Linked DNA regions of Drosophila melanogaster. The protein of the gene in region 1 interacts with the protein of each later gene in a pairwise test. Each region holds a gene or a part of one and is shown in the gene's direction. Other genes may lie near its edges. The genes, in order: eIF4E7, mxt, eIF4G2 and Thor.

Evidence for each region.
Region 2: the proteins of eIF4E7 (region 1) and mxt interact in a two-hybrid assay, tested with the Drosophila melanogaster proteins (2 studies listed by BioGRID).
Region 3: the proteins of eIF4E7 (region 1) and eIF4G2 interact in a two-hybrid assay, tested with the Drosophila melanogaster proteins (one study listed by BioGRID).
Region 4: the proteins of eIF4E7 (region 1) and Thor interact in a two-hybrid assay, tested with the Drosophila melanogaster proteins (2 studies listed by BioGRID).

The regions. Positions count from the first base shown.
Region 1 is NC_004354.4:1,158,083-1,164,155, reverse strand, and holds eIF4E7 (eukaryotic translation initiation factor 4E7), read left to right. Parts: upstream 1-1,766; 5' UTR 1,767-1,870; intron 1,871-4,023; 5' UTR 4,024-4,050; coding exon 4,051-5,340; 3' UTR 5,341-5,557; downstream 5,558-6,073.
Region 2 is NT_033779.5:4,842,062-4,849,092, reverse strand, and holds mxt (mextli), read left to right. Parts: upstream 1-1,797; 5' UTR 1,798-1,854; exon of another isoform or gene 1,855-1,929; intron 1,930-2,328; exon of another isoform or gene 2,329-2,377; intron 2,378-2,742; exon of another isoform or gene 2,743-2,814; intron 2,815-2,876; 5' UTR 2,877-3,049; coding exon 3,050-3,451; intron 3,452-3,517; coding exon 3,518-3,839; intron 3,840-3,934; coding exon 3,935-4,006; intron 4,007-4,320; coding exon 4,321-4,381; intron 4,382-4,446; coding exon 4,447-4,924; intron 4,925-4,981; coding exon 4,982-5,375; intron 5,376-5,434; coding exon 5,435-6,033; 3' UTR 6,034-6,509; downstream 6,510-7,031. Other genes in the region: CG11927 (uncharacterized protein), read right to left, coding at 1-1,238. UniProt on the Drosophila melanogaster protein: Plays a role in promoting translation.
Region 3 is NT_033777.3:23,816,228-23,821,097, reverse strand, and holds the start of eIF4G2 (eukaryotic translation initiation factor 4G2), read left to right. Parts: upstream 1-1,860; 5' UTR 1,861-2,117; intron 2,118-2,278; exon of another isoform or gene 2,279-2,486; 5' UTR 2,487-2,871; intron 2,872-4,067; 5' UTR 4,068-4,086; coding exon 4,087-4,870.
Region 4 is NT_033779.5:3,476,854-3,480,116, forward strand, and holds Thor (thor), read left to right. Parts: upstream 1-1,580; 5' UTR 1,581-1,762; coding exon 1,763-1,907; intron 1,908-2,331; coding exon 2,332-2,540; 3' UTR 2,541-2,759; downstream 2,760-3,263. UniProt on the Drosophila melanogaster protein: Repressor of translation initiation that regulates eIF4E1 activity by preventing its assembly into the eIF4F complex. Hypophosphorylated form competes with eIF4G1 and strongly binds to eIF4E1, leading to repress translation.

The DNA.
Region 1 (6,073 bases):
CGATAAGGTCACAGCTCCAAGTCGACGGATAAAGAAAACATTTCGCCACCAGTTTTGAACAGATGTCGAGGCCGCGGTGACTCTGGCTTTTGACGGTATGTTCCGAATCATTCAAAATTCGATATGTCGGCTAGCTACACACGCCTGTTCCGCGTTTTGTTCGTGATAATTTTCATCAAGTTACTCCTCCTTTTGGGACTCCTTTTGGACAGCTACGATGGTGCTGCCCGGCTTCAGAGGCGGTCGAATGTGGATATATTTGATGAACTACTCGTAGATCGGAGGCAAAGTAAGAAAAACTTCCAATTAGGAAAAGCTTTCGCTGGGGTCAGAGTGTATTAAAAGTGTGTCAATATCAGAATGTACATTTAAGGAGCCCACCTACCATTTTAGTGCCTTCTTGGGAGCAGCGATTGGAATGGATCCGCGAGGAAATGCATTCGTTTCCGCTGAAAGAGCTCCTGGCCAGAAAAAACAGACGATTGCCTTCAGTGAAGTGCGGCCCCGATATGATGAACATTGATTTTCATTGATAGCCCTCTGCCAGGCTATTGATGGCAATAGTCCCATCCACAGATCCCAAGTTCGTGGTATGTGTGAAGGCGAGGGATTTTCCAAAAACTGAGGCTTATTATATGCACCGCAAGTGCAAGTGCGTGTAACGCTGTATGCATGTATTTATGGCTTTTAAGCTGTGCCAAAGTTATTTAAATTACTGATATCTGGCTTCTTTGTGGGTTTATCATGTGATTATTTGGGCAAGCAATAAAAGAAAATGCTGTATTTTGGCACAATATTCTTCATGATTCCGTCTATGAGTTGCCTACAACAGCTGTTAAGTTTCCACGGTTGTCTGTTAAGTTGCCTGTCCCTCTGTTGCTCGATCGAGCAGGTCCTGGGAAATCCTTGTCGTTTGCTTCAGTCGGCCACGAACTGTTGGTCGGGTTGGAGGTGGACTCACCGACGCCACAACCGCCCTCTGATTGCCTTTTTGATGCATTGGGATGTTTGTATTTGATGTGTTGCTTTTTTGCGTAATGCAACTGCTAACGACTCTTTAAATATTTTACACGATTTAGCATTTCATAATGATAATACCCGCAATCCGCTTGCGGGGGGCATGCGTTTATGGTTCAATTTCAGTTTATGCATTCTCATAATGCTTGATGATTTCAGAATGCCGTGTTTGCATTTCAACTCCAAATGACTTTTTCAGAGCGATTCATTCGCTGGCAAAATGCAAAAATGCACATAGAATTTAATTTAATTTGCGCACACTCATGCACCATTTATCCACTTCTAATTAATTGCATTGCACAAGAACACAAAACGCAAAACATTTGAATGCGAATGTCTGAACGGACATGAACAAATATACAAATGTGAACAAAAACACGCTCAGAGCTAACTGAACTGAACTGAACAGGGCAAAAAGCGACACAAGATGAAAATATTCATTATTATTTGGCCAAATTGCGAATTAATGATATGAGCAAACAGGCAGGCCATAGTGTTGTTGGCATGCAAATTATGGCAGCGCGCAAAAACAAAAGCAATGCAATTTTTTAATTAAATGCTTTAGCTGTAATCCAGGAGCGCTTAGTGGAGTTCGGATTAGGCCATATACTCGCGAATCCGATCCCAGTGATGGGAAAAAATGCAGAATAGTACCGAAGTGGGACCGGACTTTTGTTACCAAAAGTCATTTTTCAGAGCAAAGTAAGTCTAGAAATATAAATCAGTTTTGGACGACACTTCGTTGTGAGAACAACCGGGTTTTAGTCAAATTTTATTTACAAAACCATTGCGATTTATTTGTTGATATATTTTGATTGACCTAAGCGGTATTCGGATATTCGCAGTGCGTTAGGTAAGTTGTGTAGACCCAATTCGTAGTGATTAATTATGGCATTAGAACTGTTCGTTGGGTTTCTCCTCCTTCGTCATCTTCGTTTACAAATAAGGTAGTGTGTTCCTTGTCGTATGTAGTATGTCTTGTCTGTCGGTCAGCTTAGATTTCATTGGCTGCCGCCGATTACTGGGAATCCCCGAAAGTATGCAAAAAGTTGGGCTAGAGCAATTGAGCGGATTGACGGTAGTGGGGATGGAGCTACCCCTGCTTAACCCCATCACCCGTCTAGTGCAACCGGCATACAAGAATACGAGGAACAAAGTTCAAACTAGCCAAACAAAACAAAACAGAACAGAGCTGAACTAAACTAAACAAAACAAAACAAAACAGAGCTAAACAAAACACACACAACGCAACAGGGAGCTGCTCATGTTTTTTGTTAATTAAAATTGGCATAGCAGCCGAGGGGAAAGGCAAGGACTGGGAACAACATTTTTGCATTTTCATCAGTTTTTCGAGGCAGCTAGCAGTCAGCAGCCGGCATTTGAACATTTCAACATTTCGGCATTTCAGCCAGCGACGATGGCTCACAGGTCATAGGTCACAGAAGGCGAGCACAGATGCCAATGTAGAGTAGTCCACCTTCCTTCAACTTCCTTCCCACTTCCAACGTTCAACTGAATGAGTGCCACTTCCTCGCTGTGTGCATATTTACCTTTAGAACATTTACTTTTTCAACAGACGACAACCGACCCGTTGAGGGCGAGTCCTCGATTTATGTGCTGCCAATAAATTTGCCCAACACTTTGGCCCCGTCTAATGCAATATTTACATCGCATCGGGCCAAATAAAAAATTGCATCGATAGGAACTGAGAAGGGCGAAACTGCTTTGCGGGAACTGAGAGAAATCCAAGGTGCCTTCTATTGTGGCTTTCGACTACTCCCATAAGTAAATTATTCATTGAAATGAATCTAGATCGCCAAAGTACAGTGACATAAAGATTCAAAAGCAGTTCATTACATGCTATAATCTAAACTACTGTCGCGATAAAATTTAGTTGATCTCTGTAATACTTTCGCTAAGTGCACCCGCACGTCTTGTAGTTTCTGTTTCTGTTTTGGCCCTGCTTTTCATTTTGATGTCATTTAAGTTAAAAGAGGAACATTTGGAAATGTCGGGTATGAGATCCCTAAACGGCTTTTAAGAAGGAAAACCTCCTGCAATGTGTTGCCTTTGTTGTTTCCCTAATTTGTATGGCAGAAGTGAAAGGAGATTCCCATATCTGTACAGTTCTTAGCCCATGCCAAGTGATACAAATGTACATATGAAGTCCATGGTTAAGGCACAGATATTCCATTAAAACAAAATCGGGTCAAATAAAATGGCCATAAACTGCTTGCCAAAAGCGTGAAAGCACAACACTCGCTCAAAGTCCAAGTCCGCTCAAACATTTGCCACGCCTTGGATTCTGTTTCTGATTCCAATTTCTGATTGATTTTTTCTCACTCATAAATTCGAGTCCTTTTGACCCCATTTTAACTTATGGCAGCCAGAGTCAAATCAAAGTTTGTTCTCCTGGTGGTTTACTTTTGTGATGCCATTACATAAAGATTCCTTCGTCCGCTGCATATCGTAAATGTAGAGAATTTTTAATGATTTTAAAAGATGCGTAAATACCAAGGCATCGTAATCTTTTCTATCGGAGATTTTGGCGTGTGAAAAACGCTTTTACTCGGTTATTTCCAAGGGGCAAGCACAACTTGACCCAGCTAATAAGAAATGCGTGCTGTGTTACCTTACACCCGTGTGTTTGGGGTTTTGCACCCACTCAAATCATTCAGTTCGGGGGGTGTGTAAATATTTGTTGCTAAAGTTGCCAACTTCTGCACACGTCCCTTGGTCTTGGTCAGTTTTTCCTTTCGTGCTTCCAAAGAAGAAATTTCCAGCTCACGTCTTAGAGAAAAGGGGCATGTTGGCTTGTTTGCCTCATTAGTCGGAAGTTCAGAAAGAGCGTTTGGCTTGGCTTTGTGGATTCATCATATATATAATTGTATAGGAAGCTACGAAAATGAAAGATCCCAAAAATCGCCATTATATTAACCCTTTTTTTTGTTAGATTTGTTTGTTTAAACATAGCGCTAACCTCGCCATTTCCGTATAACTCTACAGCCGTTGCTGACCTCGAACAAAGCCGCCATGCTTCCCAACAGCTTTTACAGGATGAGGGACTTTGCCAATCCGAGAACAATGTTTAAAAGCTGTGCGAACAACAATGAATATCCCACACAAGGTCCCCAAAAAGTGGAGTCACCAACTGATGTTACCCAGCCTGCTGCAGCTCCTCAATCCACTGAAGATACTCAACCAGAAAAGACCCAAGAACCGATGAATGATCCAAACAAAACGTCGCCATCAGAGCCCCAAAAACGTGGCAAGGGGAACCGGAAGGGCAAGAAGAATCAAAAGAATGCGCCACGCACTCCCAGTCAGACGAGCAAGAGCAGTCGAAGCAACAATCCGGGCAAAGATGGAAAGTCGACGGGAAATGATGACAATGAGAAGGGTAAAGGCCAAGGAAAACAGATGGTCCAGCAGAAAGAAAATAGCCCTGAACAGGAGCAGTCGACTAGTGCACAATATAGGAAGAATGTGCTCGACAAGGATCTGCAGGACAAGAAGCTAATCGAAAAGAATATGCAGGGAAAGATAATCACACAAGAAAATCTTTTAGGGCAGAAGGTCCTAATGCGGTTATCCGAGCAGAAGCTTTTGAGCTTGAGGCTCGAGCCCAGGATTAAACAGAACACATGTCCACCGGCCAAAAAAGAAGATGCGGTGGTCGCTTTTGACAATTCACTAGAATTTCTGTCACTGAACAATAAATGTGATGATGATCTGACCATCGCGGCGGAGAACGCCGAACTTTTGGAGGTCGAGGATCCTCAACATCCACTCAACAACTGCTGGACTCTGTGGTATCTAGAGAACGATCGAAATAAAAGTTGGGAAGAAATGCTGCACAAGGTTACAAGCTTCGATACCGTGGAGAAGTTTTGGAGCCTGATCACTCACATCAAGCCCCCATCCGAGCTTATGCTGGGCAGTGACTACTCCCTGTTCAAGAAGGGCATTCGACCCATGTGGGAGGATGAGGCCAATGTCAATGGAGGACGCTGGGTCATCAACTTGACCAAGAGCGCCAAGATGGCTCTGGACAGTTTCTGGATGGACGCCATGCTCTGTCTGATTGGAGAGGCCTGTAAGCACTCGGACGATCTTTGTGGCGTTGTGGTCAATATTCGCGGAAAGTCGAACAAGATCTCTATTTGGAACGCTGACGGGGGAAATCAGACTACAGTCCTTGAAATTGGACGCATTTTACGCAAGGTTCTACGCATGGACAACATATACGTGCTGGAGTATCAGTTGCACAAGGACTCCAAGGATAAACTGGGATCAACTGTGAAGAGAATATACACTGTATAGGTTCTCATCAGACAATTGCGAATCGAAACATTTTCAGTATTTTCGGTATTTTTTCACAAGAACTTGAAATGTCAAGCAGGTGTGATCAGCCATCGATCGATAGTTAGTTGGGTTCCAAATCTCTAGTCAAACCATCCGTACACGTACACGTTGTACATAAAAATTTGAATGTTGCTCCTATAGAGCGACGAAATAAATACATAACTATTTGGTCAAGAAGTTGTTTGTTTTAAAGTGTGAAATTGGAGAGTGTTGGAGAGAGACTGCGAAATGTTTCTAACTATGCACCTTCTTTACTAATTTAACCCGATTCCAAGAACATGCAACATGGTTTGTCTCGATTCCTGAGTTCCAATCGGTGTATTGGATGTTCTTTGTCTGCTCCACTGCTAACCATTGGGGCGGGCATTCAGAAGTTGGTTGCTAGCTTTTTGTTCGCTTTCACATCGGTCAGCGGACATGGGACATTTGGACATTGGACATTGGCCGTTGGACTTATTTGGCGCACGGCGTCACACAACTTGGCCGTGCTCAATTGTTTGATTTATTGGCATTTATTGGCAGTTGGCATTTTATTGTGACTGCTTTGGGTGACCACGTAAGGGGAGCCAATGATGTTGGAGTGGAGGCAGGTGCGTTCTCCTGGCACTGAATTCCTTTTGTTGCTGTTCTTGGCCACTTTTCCATTTGACGGGCTTTAATGTGCTTAATGTATTTTCTGTGCCTTGCTGTG
Region 2 (7,031 bases), on another chromosome or scaffold:
TTGAAATCATGCATCGACGCAAAACCATTCGGCGGCCTCTCCTTGGACATGTCCCACGAGCCGATGCTGGATGACTTGCGCACGAACACTTGGCCCTTTTCATTCTTGTCCTGCTCCACCCAGCGCTCTGCATGCTTCACCGTCAGCATCGCCTTGTGCGCAACTATATACTCCTCGGCCTTCTGTAGTCGTTCCAGTTGCTGCTCGTCCAGCTGGTCGCGCGGCAGCTTCCCCAAACGCTGCACCGTTCGCTTCCAGTTGTGGAACTCACGGTTTTTAAAGGGCTTCATGGCCATACGGTACTCCTTCCACTGGCGCTGGCGCTCCTCCTTCGTACCAGGCGGTGCATCCTCGAGCGGCGGTGGTGCCTCTGGCTTCTGTATCCATTGGCCATTGACCTGGACAAATGTGCCGCAGCGCTTGGGCTTCTTGGAGGGCTGCGCTTCCCCGTTTGACGGCGAATTGTTGCCATTGCTTGGCGGTGGGGGCGGAGGCATAAGCCTCGTATCTTTGTCACTGTTGCCGCGATGGTTTACCTTGAATTTCTTGTTATTCTGGTTTGGATTGCTGCGATTGTTTTGTGCTCCCTGCTCCTTGGGTACCAGATTCCACAAGCTGGGGCACTTGGGCATGGGCGGTTGGATTGGTGGTGGTCTATGTTGTGGCGACATCATGTCCTCCCAGAACGGAGGCGGCTGCAGAGGTCGGTGATTGTGATTCCGGCGGGGCCCAGAACCACGTGGTCCTCCAAAGCCCACTGGACCACCGGGGCCCATACTGCTCATGGGACCACAGGGACCCATATTGCTTATGGGACCGCGAGGTCCTCCTGGTCCCATTGGCCCCATGGGGGGACCGCATTGTCCGGGTCCAGGCCCAAAATTGCCTCCAAAGCCCATGTTCATCAGCTGCATAGGAAGTGGAGGCGGTCGATTCATCGGAGGATAGTTCCTGTCCTGGTAGCTTTGCGGACCTCCGCCTCCATGAAAGGCATTGTTGCTATTCGAAGACCAATGTTTACGTCCGTTGCCGTTGTTGTTATTGTTGTTGTTGTTACTATTGTTATTGTTGCTCCGTTGTAGTCCGCTTTTGGTATCCGGTTTCAGTGCATCCTTGCATTTCTTCCAATCTGCAAACGACATTTTCAGCGGCTTAGTTTCAGGCTCATCTTTGCCGGACTCCGGAACGACTTCCTTGGAATCCTCTGGTGCCGCCTCCACGTCCCCGTTTTCAGACATCTCGCACCTTAGAGAGTGGGAATACACTTTATAAATATATCAACTTAATTTTATTTGAGTTTTGCTTAGCGATGGCAAACAAAAATTTCAATAACAACAAATTGAAGGAACAGCCGATGTTTTCTATCGATATTTTCGTGCTTAAAATTTTAGGGAGTTTCCCCTGAAGTATTTTCTTAAGAGTCCTGTTGTTCTTAAAAAAGAACAGTAGTTTCCAAATGTATTCTCTAAACTTTCCGCTATACCAGTAAATCTTCATTTGTTAACTAGTAAGCGATATATTAATGCCCAACGTAATATAATATATATTTAACATTTTCGATCCCATGCAGACACAACCGGCGGGGAATAGTAATTGCCCAGCGTCCAGATACCATAGTGAATTGTTGGTTATCAGCGATAAGTGTCTGATTTCGTAACATTTATTTCATATTTAAATTTAAATTTTAATACGAACACATCTGTGATGCGAAATTGATGTGAGCTTTTTGACTGCGCTTTACGTGAACTGGTCTGGATAGCTGTGGCGCATCTCTAAAATCTAACGTGTTCGATCAGGTGGCAACACCCACCGTAAAAAACGATTTTAGTCGCAGTCGCAGAGATTTTGGTTTTGGTAAGCTCTAGTAATTTATTGGAAATTACGATCCAAAATACACCGTTTTAAGAGACGTTTCAATCGGCCATTAAAGTAAATAATAAGCGCGACGAAGACTAAACATCAAAAGTGTTGAAACTAGAACGAGAGTGCAAAGTCGGTCGCCAGCAAAACGCGTAGTTTGCTTATTTTAACGAAAAGCGGCCAGTGCCATTAAAATATTACTCAATTTCACAGAGAATTTTGGCCGAAAACGGATGCAATATATGGATATATAGACCCTGTTTCCTGAAAGTTAACTTCCTTTTTGTTCTACGCCCAACACGGTCGTCAACTGCGCTGCCATCGTCGACGTCGGCAGAGGCCATTCTTGTTGTTGCTATTCTCGACATATGATTCAATAGAGCGATCGCCTCTCTCTTTCTCCCTCCCACGGACAATTTCAGTTTTTTGTAATATTTCTGTTAGCTGTGTTTTAGTTGCCCATGTTTGTTTGTTCTTGTTGTTGTTGCTGCTGCTGCTGTTGCTGCAGCGGCAGTAAGTGATATTTAAAAAAGAAATGAGTTGTTCGCATGGAGCGAAAGTCGAACTGAAATAACACAAATGGTCGTCCGTTTGTCGTTCCCATTCGATATATGCCAACAATTTTCATCAATTATTTACATATTTTGCTTTTGGAACTTCGCACCGATTAACTGAGCAGAAGCCAGAAGCTCAGAAGGCGCCAATGGGTTAATTTGGCCACTAAACTATAGATAAATCGCGGTGTTATCAGCTAAAGCCGCTTATCAAACGTGCACATCGTTAAGATATACGAGAGCTTTGCGTCGCAATATTCGAGATTCGGTCGGAAACGAGGCCAATCTCCATATCCTAAGAAACCTTTTGGTTGTCCATGCTCTCGGCCATTACTCCCAAGTTCTAATGCAATATAGTCGGCTTTGATCATCCTAGCAGCTGAAAGCATGTATCCAAATAGTACAATAGTTTTAATGTAAACAATACATTTGATCGATAACTAACCTTTCTTGTGTTTACAGGGGGAGGTGCGGAAACAGCTTCTACGATTCATTTTTGATCAATTCTTCAACAACATTTAAACGAACGAATAAGTTAGCAGACCATATAGACTGAAATCAGCAGATCCGGACACCAGGCGGGACAACCTTAAGACTTCTTCACGAGACGATATCGAATCCAACGAATCCCGAGAATGGCTCACACACACCTGGGACGCGCCGTGAAAAACATTGAGGCGCCACGCCCGTTGAAGACACAATCGCGATCGTCGTTGAAGAACAGCTACCTGGTGATCGAGGAGCTAATCCAGTTGATAGACAACGTGACCGTCGGTCTTCAGTCGTGCAACACCACGCCGGAATCGATCACGCTGCTCCTGCACAACCTCCGGGTGCATGGACCGCAACTGGAGGCGGTGTCCAAGGATACACTGGACCGGGCCTTCGTCGTTTTCCGCAACGCTTCGCAGGACGAACGGCTGAATATAACGACGCGCCTCAAGCTGCTCGAACTCATCGAGCTGCGCGCCAAGAGCTGGGACAATGACGACACAATCGCGTACTACAAGTCCAAGCAGCAGATCTCCAACGTGGAGGTGAGTAGAGTACATAGAATCGATCTCACTTTGGAAAACGATCAAATATGTATCGTTGCTTTGCAGCTGCCTTCGGAATACCAGTACGATGCCGGCGTGCAGCCTGGCGCCTTCAGCACCTCCCCCACATTCGGCGTCAGCGGCGGTGTTGGTGGCGTTAACGATGGAGCCGCAGCCGCCGCTGCCGCCGTCTTCAATGCAGCATCTGCAGCTGCAGCCGCCCAAGCTGCGGCCATTGCGGCCGTGGGCACATCCAACCAGCAGCACATGCTGCTGCCGCCCGGTGAGGTCATTCGTAATTCGGGCAAGTTCCCCAAACCGACCAAGATTCCTGGCAAGACGTACTGCAAGGACGAGGTCGTGATTCGCAATGCTGACTCCGGCAAAGGTAAGTTTTTCAATCAGCTGAGGAGTGTTCTGGAGCACACAGATCTACAGAAATGGTTTTCAATAATGTATTCCTCCATTCCCGTGGCCAAAAAGTAATGGGCATCAAGGGGCGTCGCGTGCACATGATCGAGGAGCTAAGCGAAACCATTATATCGTTTCAAAGAGGTAACTCCAGAGAGCTGGTTTTAATTGTGATCCTCACCGCACCCCCATTTCATTTGGCACGCTTATTTAAATCAATTAATGCCCGGTGGCTTCTACAAAATTTACTAATAGAAATTATAAATACGCATGTTCCAGATTTTGTCCATTCAACGACACCACATTAAGCCAAAATTGATCGTTAAAGGCATTTTGAAATCACATATTTTCATACTGTATATATGCATTTTGTTTTTAAATGTTTTCGCATCCCAATTATTTTTCATAAATATAAATGCTTTTTTCGAGAACAATTATGAATGCCTTGTTTTCATTAGTCAACCCGGGTGCCAAGGAGCGTTTGGTGCAGATTACTGGTCCAGCTGAGGATAAAATTAAGTGAGTAAAGTAAATAAATTAAAGCTAATTTACCTTTATGTCAAAATGTTTTAATTCTACGACAGCTATGCCAAACAACTTATGGAGGACACCATTCGTCGGAACGCCTCGCCGGTGCGCCTGGAACCCGCTCCTGCCGTTGGAGGATCCTGCTCCTCGCTTAACTCGTCCAACTCGGACGACGCCATTGTGCAACCAAGAACGCCAACCGGAAGCAGTTTGGCCAACCGGCTAAGCTTTAACTCGGCCCAAAACTTCATGACCGCCACAGCTGCTGCACAGCAGATCTCGCAGCAGATGCACCACCAAACGCATCACCTGCAGCACCAACAGCAGCAGCAGGTCGCCGCAGTAGCCGCCGCAGCAGCAGCGGCGGCACATGCTCAGGCGACAGCCGCTGCCGGTAAAGTCTTGCGTCCCAATCAACAGCTGCTAATGCACTCATATTCCACAAACGATGCTTCCGTAGGTGAATACAAGTTCACGGTCAACGTGGGCCAGCACCTGATCAAGATCACCGGCGACTGCTGCGAACTAGTGCGCGTGAGTAATGTTGAAGTTTTCAATTGTGAAATTTGTTAAATCCCCTGCGATTTCAAGGTGGCCAAACTCGTGCTCGATGACTATTTTAGCAGCTCGGAGTTTCTGGCATCCATTGAGGCTGGCGCCGCCTTCGACGGCACTTCGCTGGTGACCACGCCATCGACTCCGCTTCCCGGAGCCGGGCCGCCGCAATTTTGGCTGCCCGGCACGGACAGTGGCATTGGACTGAATTGCGTTGTTTCCTCGTCAGCGAACAACAATGGTGAAGGCGACGACGAGGTGTTCGCTGAGCCCAGCAATGGAGGATCATCGACTAGCAATCAGAATGGACTGGCCAGATCGCGTCGCAGCCACTTTTCGCGCAAGGAGTCCACGCCGGAGACCAAGGGCGCTCGGGAAAAGGGTGACTTGGACGATTTGGCAGGCACCAATTCCTTGAAAAGCAATGCATGTAAGATTACAATCCTTTTATGCTTAACCAAGTCTTTGATGCTTAAACTTAAATTACAGCTCGCGTTTCTTACGATATTGAACACTTGCTCTACTACTCCATGAGTCCGCACTCGTGGACCCTGCCCACCGACTGGCAAAAGATGCAGGAGACAGCGCCCTCGATTCTGCGCAACAAGGTAATTTCGCCGTTCGATGGCTCACTTGGCCGTACGGCTTACTCTTCGAACATCCCCGATGCTATCATCGCCAGTGCACCTAACTCATCAGTAATAACACATCCGTGGGCTTTAAATGCAATAACCTCCTCCCCGAACACAAATATCATCAGCACCGCCGTTGGACTAGCTGCTGTCGATGCGTCGGCAGACAACAATCCCCTAACCGTCACTAACAAGCAATCAAAAGGGATCTTCGCCGAACGCGAGAACCGTCGCCTTCCCAAAACATCGGCCGTGTCCGATCGAAACCTGTATAACAAGCAATTGCAAATCATAACTAATACTGTGGGTCAATCGGTGGCAACACAAGGAAAGCATCGCCAGTCTAGCTATCAAACATCACAAGTGAAGGCAATTTTTCAACGCTACTGCGAGGACGATGAGTTTTCATTGGCACTGTGCGAAACAGAATCGAATAATAACCGCGTTTATGTGTAATTTCATTTAATTTCATTTAATTTAATTTAATTTTACGTAGCCGGAATACGTATTATTGAATCTCAGTCACAGATAGGCTTTTCTTTTCATGTCAGTATTTTTGCTGTTTTAATTTTATATAACTTATCATTAAGAAAAGGTGAAGCGTGAAGAACTTGATAATGAATCAAGTCAATACATCATTATCATTATCATCATCCAGTCATTAGATTAACGACATACCATCGAAACCAAACCGATCGCTAGTCTTAGAGGTAACAATACATATAATGCATTGAAATTAAAATGTAACTATAGGGAGAATCTGTGTTTTGGCTGTGAAACAGATTAAGTCGTCGCTAAGGATAAGCTGGAAAGGCGGTTGAAACCGCTTAACCGCTAACAAACAAACATTCTCGAATTCAAACCAACATTTACAAATCTGTAATCAATACGATTTATATTAACTAATAAACAGGACTTTCAAAGTCCGTAACAAAGCTTGGCTGGGTTTAACTTACACCACCACACACCCCACACATTGTAAATTATAAATTGTAACTTGTGTTTTACCACCGAAGCATCATAACATCACCACCTAACCACCACTCCAGATGGCTAACTTAGTTACTAAACTGTTCCGTATGTATATATGTTCGTTCATCCCTGGATAGCTTGCGTGTCAATGTTACTTTGAAATCAGATATTAAACCATTTCTTTGTTCGACAACAGGATCTGCAGGATGAGAGCCAGCGCTTCGATGGTGATAAGTATCTGGCCAGCATTAAGACGGCCGCCAAGCGAGACATTGTGGCTGCCGATGAGGTCGAGACTCTGGACGAATAAAGCCATCAATCGAGCGGCTCGAACTGACAATATAGAGTGTCCCGGGGTGAAGTGCCTGCTCCCAGACGGAGCTGCAGTATGCTTCAATGCTTTTGGCCATGGCCACATCTAACAATCGCAAACTCAAAACGACCAAAACAAAACAAACAAAAAAAAAAGAATATTGAAAAAT
Region 3 (4,870 bases), on another chromosome or scaffold:
ATGTTTTAACTTGTAACTTATAGTTGCATAACATTTGCTTTTTGCATTTGCAAACAATGCAATTTACGAATACCGCACTTATGAATTTCTTTTAGAAATTTCTCTAATTATTGCACAATTTTCACATTAACATTTATGGTAGTCGAGCTTATACGCGATTTACTTTGAGTAAATCTTGTGTTTGGTTTTATTTTAATTGATTGTGTTAAATAAACGGTAAAAAAGAAACGAAAAAGTTTTATTTTGGGCTATGCCCATTCTCGTTTTAACGGGTTTTCAGTTCGCGCACTATTTTTATTCGTTTCTACATGGATGCCAAAATTATATGAGTAATATAAGAGTTGATTTCGTAACCGGCTCAGGTGCAGTAGTCGCAGTCGGTTGCAATTTCAGTTTGGTGCATTCTCTTCTTGTTGTGCAGAATTTTTCAGCGCCAAAGTGGAGGAAAGTGATGCGGGAAAAAAGCGTTACGCGCGTCAGGGCGAATCAAGCTTCGGACTTAGTGTGACCGCAGCGGGAGTAAAGGAATTCGCTTTTGGTGTGGCTGCACTCGCGTCCCCGAAAGATACCATGCGGTGCTGAAAGAAATACCAAATTAAATCATTATGGGTTCAAAATATACCAAAAAGCAGAGGCTTTTTTTTTAAGGGGGATTCAATTAATAAGTATACTTTTAAATAAATTAATAAGATGTAAGACGATATTATCTTTGAAAAATGTATAAAATTTAAATAAAACTTTAAAAATCGTATCTTTTTGATCCAAATTTCGGAAAGTGTTGCAATTTCATTTTCGAATTGTATTGTCAAAACCTGCCGCTCAGGTAGCGCACTCAGCGACCGTTATATTCAAAATGTTTGTGCTGAGAGCAAAATTATTGAAAAAAAGTAAGAGCCTCGTCCATTTACTCATCTGTTGTCCTCACACTATCTTTAGTGCAACCGCAAAGGCCACAAAAACATGACAGTACGCACAGGAAAACAAGCATTGCAAATGACTTCACAACTGAAATGGAAAAAAAAAAATGCAAAATACGGACAGTCCGTATGCGGTTTCGTTGTGCCAAGTTAAAATATTTGCATTTGCGGTCTAGTCTTTTTGCATTTTCAACCACCAAATAATCCCTTCAGACTCTGTTTGTGGGCTCTATGTGTATATAATTTTTTTAGGCTGCAATAAGGCTCCGAGTTCATTCTTGCACTCGTTTTACTTTAAAGTTTTGGCCATAGTGTATACTGAGATAAGGAGTAATAAGTAGAGAAGGGTATAGCATTGGAAAAACGGATACTAGAGGGAGGTGAGGGCGCAGAGTAAAGGATTATGTGGGAAGTGGAGGGCGTTGCGCATCCGGCAAAACAGAAAGAGCAAAACTTTTACTACAAGCGCGTAAACACTGCAATTTCTGCACGAGGGGTAGTCTAAGAGCATTAAGGGGAGGCAATCCGGAAGTTGCGAATGGAATGGAAACAGGATTCTGCGCATATGCTGTCCTACGAATGCGTAAATTATGAATATATCATTCAAATTAAAATGTAAAGTTAGAATAAACAATAATAACAGCGAAATATGTGTGGAATTTATATGATATTCTGCGTCATGCACCACAATGCGCATTATATAATAATTGTTATTATAACACCTGCATAAGGCCTATTTTTCTATTTCGAAAGAATGATTATTCTTATGATGAAGAACGTTCAAAATATTACGCGCCAAGCTTGAATCCAAGTTCTCCACCCCGGTTTGAGGACGCACTAAAATGTATAATATTCCTGCGGGATATTTCTGGAACTTTCACAATCGATATTCGCTGCGTAGACATCGATGCTGCCGCCATCGAGTTATGTTCCATCCCTACGTGCAACGGTCACTCTTATTTCATCAAACGAAACGGACGTGTTTCTGCAGACTATTTACATTACAAAATTGTTTGTAACAGATAGTGAGCCGTGTATACATAACGAGGTGAAGCAGACGATGCACTAATGTAAAGGCGCAGTGCCAGAGCAACTTTTTGGCGTGTTCCCCGCGTGGAACTGCATTTTTTTTTGTTTCCTTCCTCAGTTTTGTGTGTGGAGTGCGAGCGAGAGAGCGTGCTAGCGAGCAGGAGCAGAACGGTAAGTACTGGCGGCCAGACAGAGACAGAGAGAGCGCAAAAAAAGAGCGAACGGCAAAAAGTCAAAACGGTAAAAAAACATAAACCAACGCCTCGCCTTTTCGGGGAAAAGTATTACCTGAAAATCTGAAAAAGGTTAAAAACCTACAAAAAGTCCCCTTGCCATTAGTGTCAAATTACGAATTGGCACTTGGCTGCCCATTTCTCATTCTCAATCCGGGGCTGAGGCTGCTCAGCTGGACAAGGAGAGGGAATAAATTCGTAGCAGGCGCTGCTTTGGTGTTCATATTCATCATATTGTAATTTTGATTCCTCGCAATTGCAAAATTTAAGCATACGTTTTAACTTCCTCTAACGCCTTTAATTACAGAACAAATTACCGTGAAATTTTAGCACTAGCCGTACGTTATTTTGTATATTTGTACGCATGTACGTGTACGTGCCCCTCGTCCGTCTGCACAAATGCAGATGTGCATGTGCATCACAGTGAATTGGAGTATTTTTATACATGGAATATCTGAGCTATTGTAGTATTCCGGATAGAGCCAACAACCACAAAGACGAGGAGTTTCCACGAGAAATAGGAAAAAGGAACGGAGGAGCAAATAAGCAGCAGCAGGAGGAGGCGTAGAGCTTGACCAGGTGTCAAGGGAAGCCGGATAGGCTTAAAGGCAGGTCTACCTTAGGAACTAAGAAATAGGATAAATCGAATACCCTTATAATCATCACATCTACCAATCGAAGCACAGGAAGCGGTAAGTTTCGAAATCTGACTTACAACTTACTCCCATTCTAGTATTTGCTTGCTTTTTCACGCAATTTACATTAATTGTTTGTTTATTAGTTTAATAACACACTACTACTACTATAACACACTGCCTCCAGTACGAATGCACTCCCAATAAGCGATCGCGATCCCATTTAGAGCAGCACCCACACACTCCAACTGGTTTTGTTTACAAACAAACATGAAACAAGTGAGCCTATCTGCCAGCCAGGTTTTCGTTTTCCTCGCCATGGAGTGAAAAGAGCCATGCACGTACTTCGTCTGCTGGAAAACTGGTTTTCTTCTGGCTTGAAGGTGCTTGGCCGCAAACTGCAGCGGAGTTGGTTTTTCTAGGCCAGCAGAGAGCTCCAAAGAGAACACCACAGTGAATATTGGCCAATGTTTGTCTTCATATTCTTATCAATCAGCATTGAACGCTTGCTTAGCAAAACAACAATGAAATTCCGTTTGGTAGTATTATAACTAAAAGAAATCATATCGTAAACAGTTTTAAGTGATCTAGTTCTTGCGGTCTCCACTGTGCCGATGGAAGTGCTGACGGAATGCCAAACTGGTTGTAGCCATAAAGACGACAGCAGCCCATAGCTCACCTCCTACGCTCGCTGGCAGCTGCTTCTTTGTGGCTGCCTTTGTTTTGTTCCGCTTTAAGGCCAGTACTGACTAATAGCGCCACTTGTTACCGTGTGTCACCTATGTACAAGTATTTAGGCTGCGCAAGTGACTAGTCCATTGATAAAACCGGCGCGATAAGGTGTCGAGCCATCTTCGAAAGCATTTTGGATGTATACACGCCCCGCGAGTGACATCATACACCACATTCCAATTAAAGAGCTCAATTGATTGAAATATTAAAGAATAAAGAAAAGGGTAAAAGAGGGAGTGCATTTGTAAAATAGCCCTTAGTCATAAGATGTAAACACATAATTTGCATGATCATTTTTGGTTGCTTTTGCACACGTTTGATTTAACTCTCATTCGCATGTACTCACGGCTTTGACTGAAAACCTAATACGCCAAGCATTTTCCACATCGCCAACTCCATTTTCACTTTCATTTCCATCTTACTAACATTACGATTTGTACATCTGTTTTGCTCTGGCCGCGGTTTTCCTAACTCTCCGTGTGTGCCTGTGCGTGTGACGGTGCGATTGTATGCGTGTGCAGATCCTTCGAAGGTCCTCCTATGTTCCCTCAACAGGGAGGGGGTGGGAAGGGAACCAGGCCACAGTCGACACATCAGCAGAACCACAACCATCAAGCCCAGCATCACCAGGCGACGCACTCGCACCACCATCACCTCCAGCAACAGCAGGAGCAGCAGCAGTCCCACGCAGTGTTCGTCCCGAACCACAGCGGCCTGCACCACCACCAGCAGCAGCACTTACTGCAACAGCAGCAGCAGCAACACCAACAACAAGCAGCCGTCGCCGCCGCTCATCTTCAGCAACACATCCAACAGCAACAACAGCAGCAGGTGCAAGCCCAGGCCCAGGCGCACCACCAGCCGGTCATCTTCTACAATACCCAGCCGTCCTACGCCGCGCATTCCGCGGCGGTTAACAACAGTGCCAACGGCGGCGGCGCTACCCTCCAACTGAGCGCCGCCGCCAGTTCCAACACGTTGGGACATCCTCTTACTGGTGGTCACCATGGTGGAGCAAATGGCGTGGCGCCGGGGTCAAACATGCCTCGTGCCCTGAGCAACCCAACTCTACCACCCCACTTTCAACAATCAGCTGGCCTGATCGCACCTGCCGGCGGAAATGCGGGTGGACCCTACATTTCCGCCACCTATATACCAATTAATCAGACCGGACCTCTGATGGGCATGCAGCCAGCTGTGACCTTTCCCACTAACGGAGCGGCTGGAGCTTCATTCTATGCGGCTGCGCCACCTCCTCCACAACAGAAACAGCTTCCTCCCACTGCTCAACAACAAGGTCCAGGCGGGGCACCGGGAGCTGCTC
Region 4 (3,263 bases), on another chromosome or scaffold:
TGTTTTTCGTGTTCTGGCTCCCTTGTTTACCGTTTACTACTTTGGGGGTCAGTTGGCACCCAGCTAACTCCCACCCCCATCTAGTGTAATTGATGGATTTGGGTCATGCTTTCCCCAATTCAAATATGCTCCTCGTCACATGGAAATCTACTTTCAAGGTCTGTCAAGCTTCCCCATTTAGCCATCATAAATATTAGCACGCTTAAGTATCGACCTTGTGCAGATTTCTAGGTGGGCGCCATCCCCTGTCCCACATCGAGATCATGATCGCCGCAGATCAACACACGTGGCCACCTTTTGTCAACCCCATATCCCTCGGAATGGCCCGTGGCCAATATCCGAATTACGTCGAATCGTGGGCGCCAACGTAGGCAAAAGTTCCTGTAGCACTATTTACATGCGTCCAACGATTAAATATCGTCAACATCGCCCCCGCATAGCTAAAACCGCTCGTGCCGCTGCTTGGATCCACCCTATGCTTGCTGCGATCAGTGGGGCATATTAGTTTGATTCCAAACAAGATATTCCACCTCAAAGAACTTGGGAACTAATAAGGGTTCGATCACCAAATTTGGTGATATGATATATGTATTTCTTTAGATATGTGCGCTAATATTAAACGGCTAAGAAGTCAATGTGCCAAAGAAAAGATATTAAATATGTATGTTTCATATCAGTCAAGTTAAATTTTGATATGAGCTAAGCGTACTTTTGGATTGTGCACTCCTAAATATAGAAATCACGCTAAAATTGCATATCTAAGTAAATAAAGCAAGTAAGTTATGTAAGACGTGTATCTTTTCGTGATAATTATTTCAAAACGGCTCGTGCCAGATAATAATGAACACTTTCCGCCTGAAAAAAAGTGAAATGCTGGGTATCTTTTAGCCCATAAAAACCTGCAATATCGTTGCTCAAATTGCTATGCTCCGCGAGTTCGCACATGCATAGAAGGCACTCATAGCCTACGTCACGATTGCCGGCGACGTGTCTTTATGCTAATTAATGGTATTTCGCGAAAACGAGTGCAAAATAATGGCCCCATGGAGAGAGCGGCAGTACTTCACGAAATTCTGCGGAACACCTCTTGACTCCCAGACAGCCATAGATAAGATCCCAATTGCACCTGAGTCATCATCATTTCCCTAGCAAGATCGACAATAGACTTGGTTTTTAGAAAAGAATGCGATTGGCGTTTAGTGCTGTTGGCTAACTTGTTTACCAATAATATTGCCGTGCATTAAACAATAACAAATGACCAAAGATAAACAAGAGCTCAAGGCGAGAAGCCCCTCAAGACAGCCCCCCACCATCGCTACACCCCTTATCATCTAGAACCTCCGAGGTGTGCAGGCTGCAACAAAAATAAGAACAATAGGGGAATATATTAGAATACGGCAATAACAACAAGAACCAGCCGGTTTGTCATAAACTACGCAGAAAATACACCAGATAAAAACAAAAAACATCAGCCGACCAAGCAGAATAATCAGGCGAGAGAGCAGGCGAAAGAGCGAGAAGAGAGCGAGAGAGAGTAAGAATGGGGGGGTATAAATAGAGCCACACTTCGTAATACCGCCAGCAATCGCCTAGCGAACAGCCAACGGTGAACACATAGCAGCCACACAAGCTCTATAGCTGATACAAGCAACGAAATACAAACAACGCAGTTTGTGTAAACAATCAAATTGTCGCAGCCATATCGAGTGTGCTTACACGTCCAGCGGAAAGTTTTCGAAACCAATCCAATCAATCAGCTAAGATGTCCGCTTCACCCACCGCCCGTCAAGCCATCACCCAGGCCCTGCCCATGATCACCAGGAAGGTTGTCATCTCGGATCCGATCCAGATGCCCGAGGTGTACTCCTCGACGCCCGGCGGAACCCTCTACTCCACCACTCCTGGAGGTAAGTTTCGAAAATTGGAAGCTGAGACTACATCGAGTATTATTAAGTTCCTTCCGGAAAGTGGAGTGATTTTCTTATCATTAGATATGATATCAAGATGAAATTAATCAACATATTTCGAAAACATAAACAAGTATACCGTTTCTTTCCTTTGCTCAAACAACAAACAAGCTTTTGTTTGAGTTGTGATACATTATTTTTGTAAAACTCACTCACCATTTTTTGGCTGATGAAACTGGGCCATCTCGCCGAGTCAGTCAGTTGGAAGATAATCCCGAGCACATGTTCCACAGTTCGTGACTCAGAGTAGCGCGGCAAAGAAGCGTTTACTCAGCTGGCTTATCAGTGGGGAACTTTGAATACCTTTCTGATGCAACGCAGACCACCTTGACTAATAAAAATTTCCGCTTTCCTATAATTCCAGGCACCAAACTTATCTACGAGCGGGCTTTCATGAAGAATCTCCGTGGCTCCCCATTGAGCCAAACTCCGCCGTCCAACGTGCCCAGTTGCTTGCTGAGGGGAACTCCGCGTACTCCCTTCCGCAAGTGCGTGCCCGTCCCCACGGAACTGATCAAGCAGACCAAGTCGCTGAAGATTGAGGACCAGGAACAGTTCCAACTGGATCTGTAGGGGGTGTGGCGTGTACACCGCCATGCAGCAACTGCCAAATCCAACTAGTTCTTAGATGCACCCACTAAAACCGATCTTATAAGCTTAGTGTACCCATTAACTAGATGCTAAGTTCTTAGTTCTTCCACCTTGTTTGTTCTCTCGGTCATATTGACCCCGTTACCTTGTAAAATCGTAGATCTTAAGTAAAATGCAATAAAAAAAAGGCACACATTATTTAAAAGAGAACCACACCTTCCATTGGGATTCAGTAGCTGCCAATTTACAATTATAAATTTTAATTTATGTTTGAGAAATTCAGTGCCAAATTACTTTCTTTATCGGCAATTCAACCTTGGCAGGCCACGCGTTATGTGATAGAACACTTTCCACTTCACCTTGAGTCAGTTTCGGTTTAGTAGTATTTTCGGCAGTTTGTTGAACTGTTTGAACTGTTTACGAAGAAATTTAGCGAAAGGGGGCTTTTTGGGGGGCGGTACACATGTTAGACAGCTGGAAATACCGGCCGGCTTTTTAGTTAGCCAGTCAGTCAGTGGCCCCAGCAGCGCGTGTCCCACTTATTGCAAAGATATGCATACATATTTATAATGTATCCAAAAACCGGCAAACAAACGCCACAAAAAAATAGATCTTTAAGAAACTGCGCAGTTGGGAAACGACCTCGCCTTTGGCCCCCGCCCCGCCCTTTACCATTTTTCTTATATATACAAAAGTAGTGTGCTG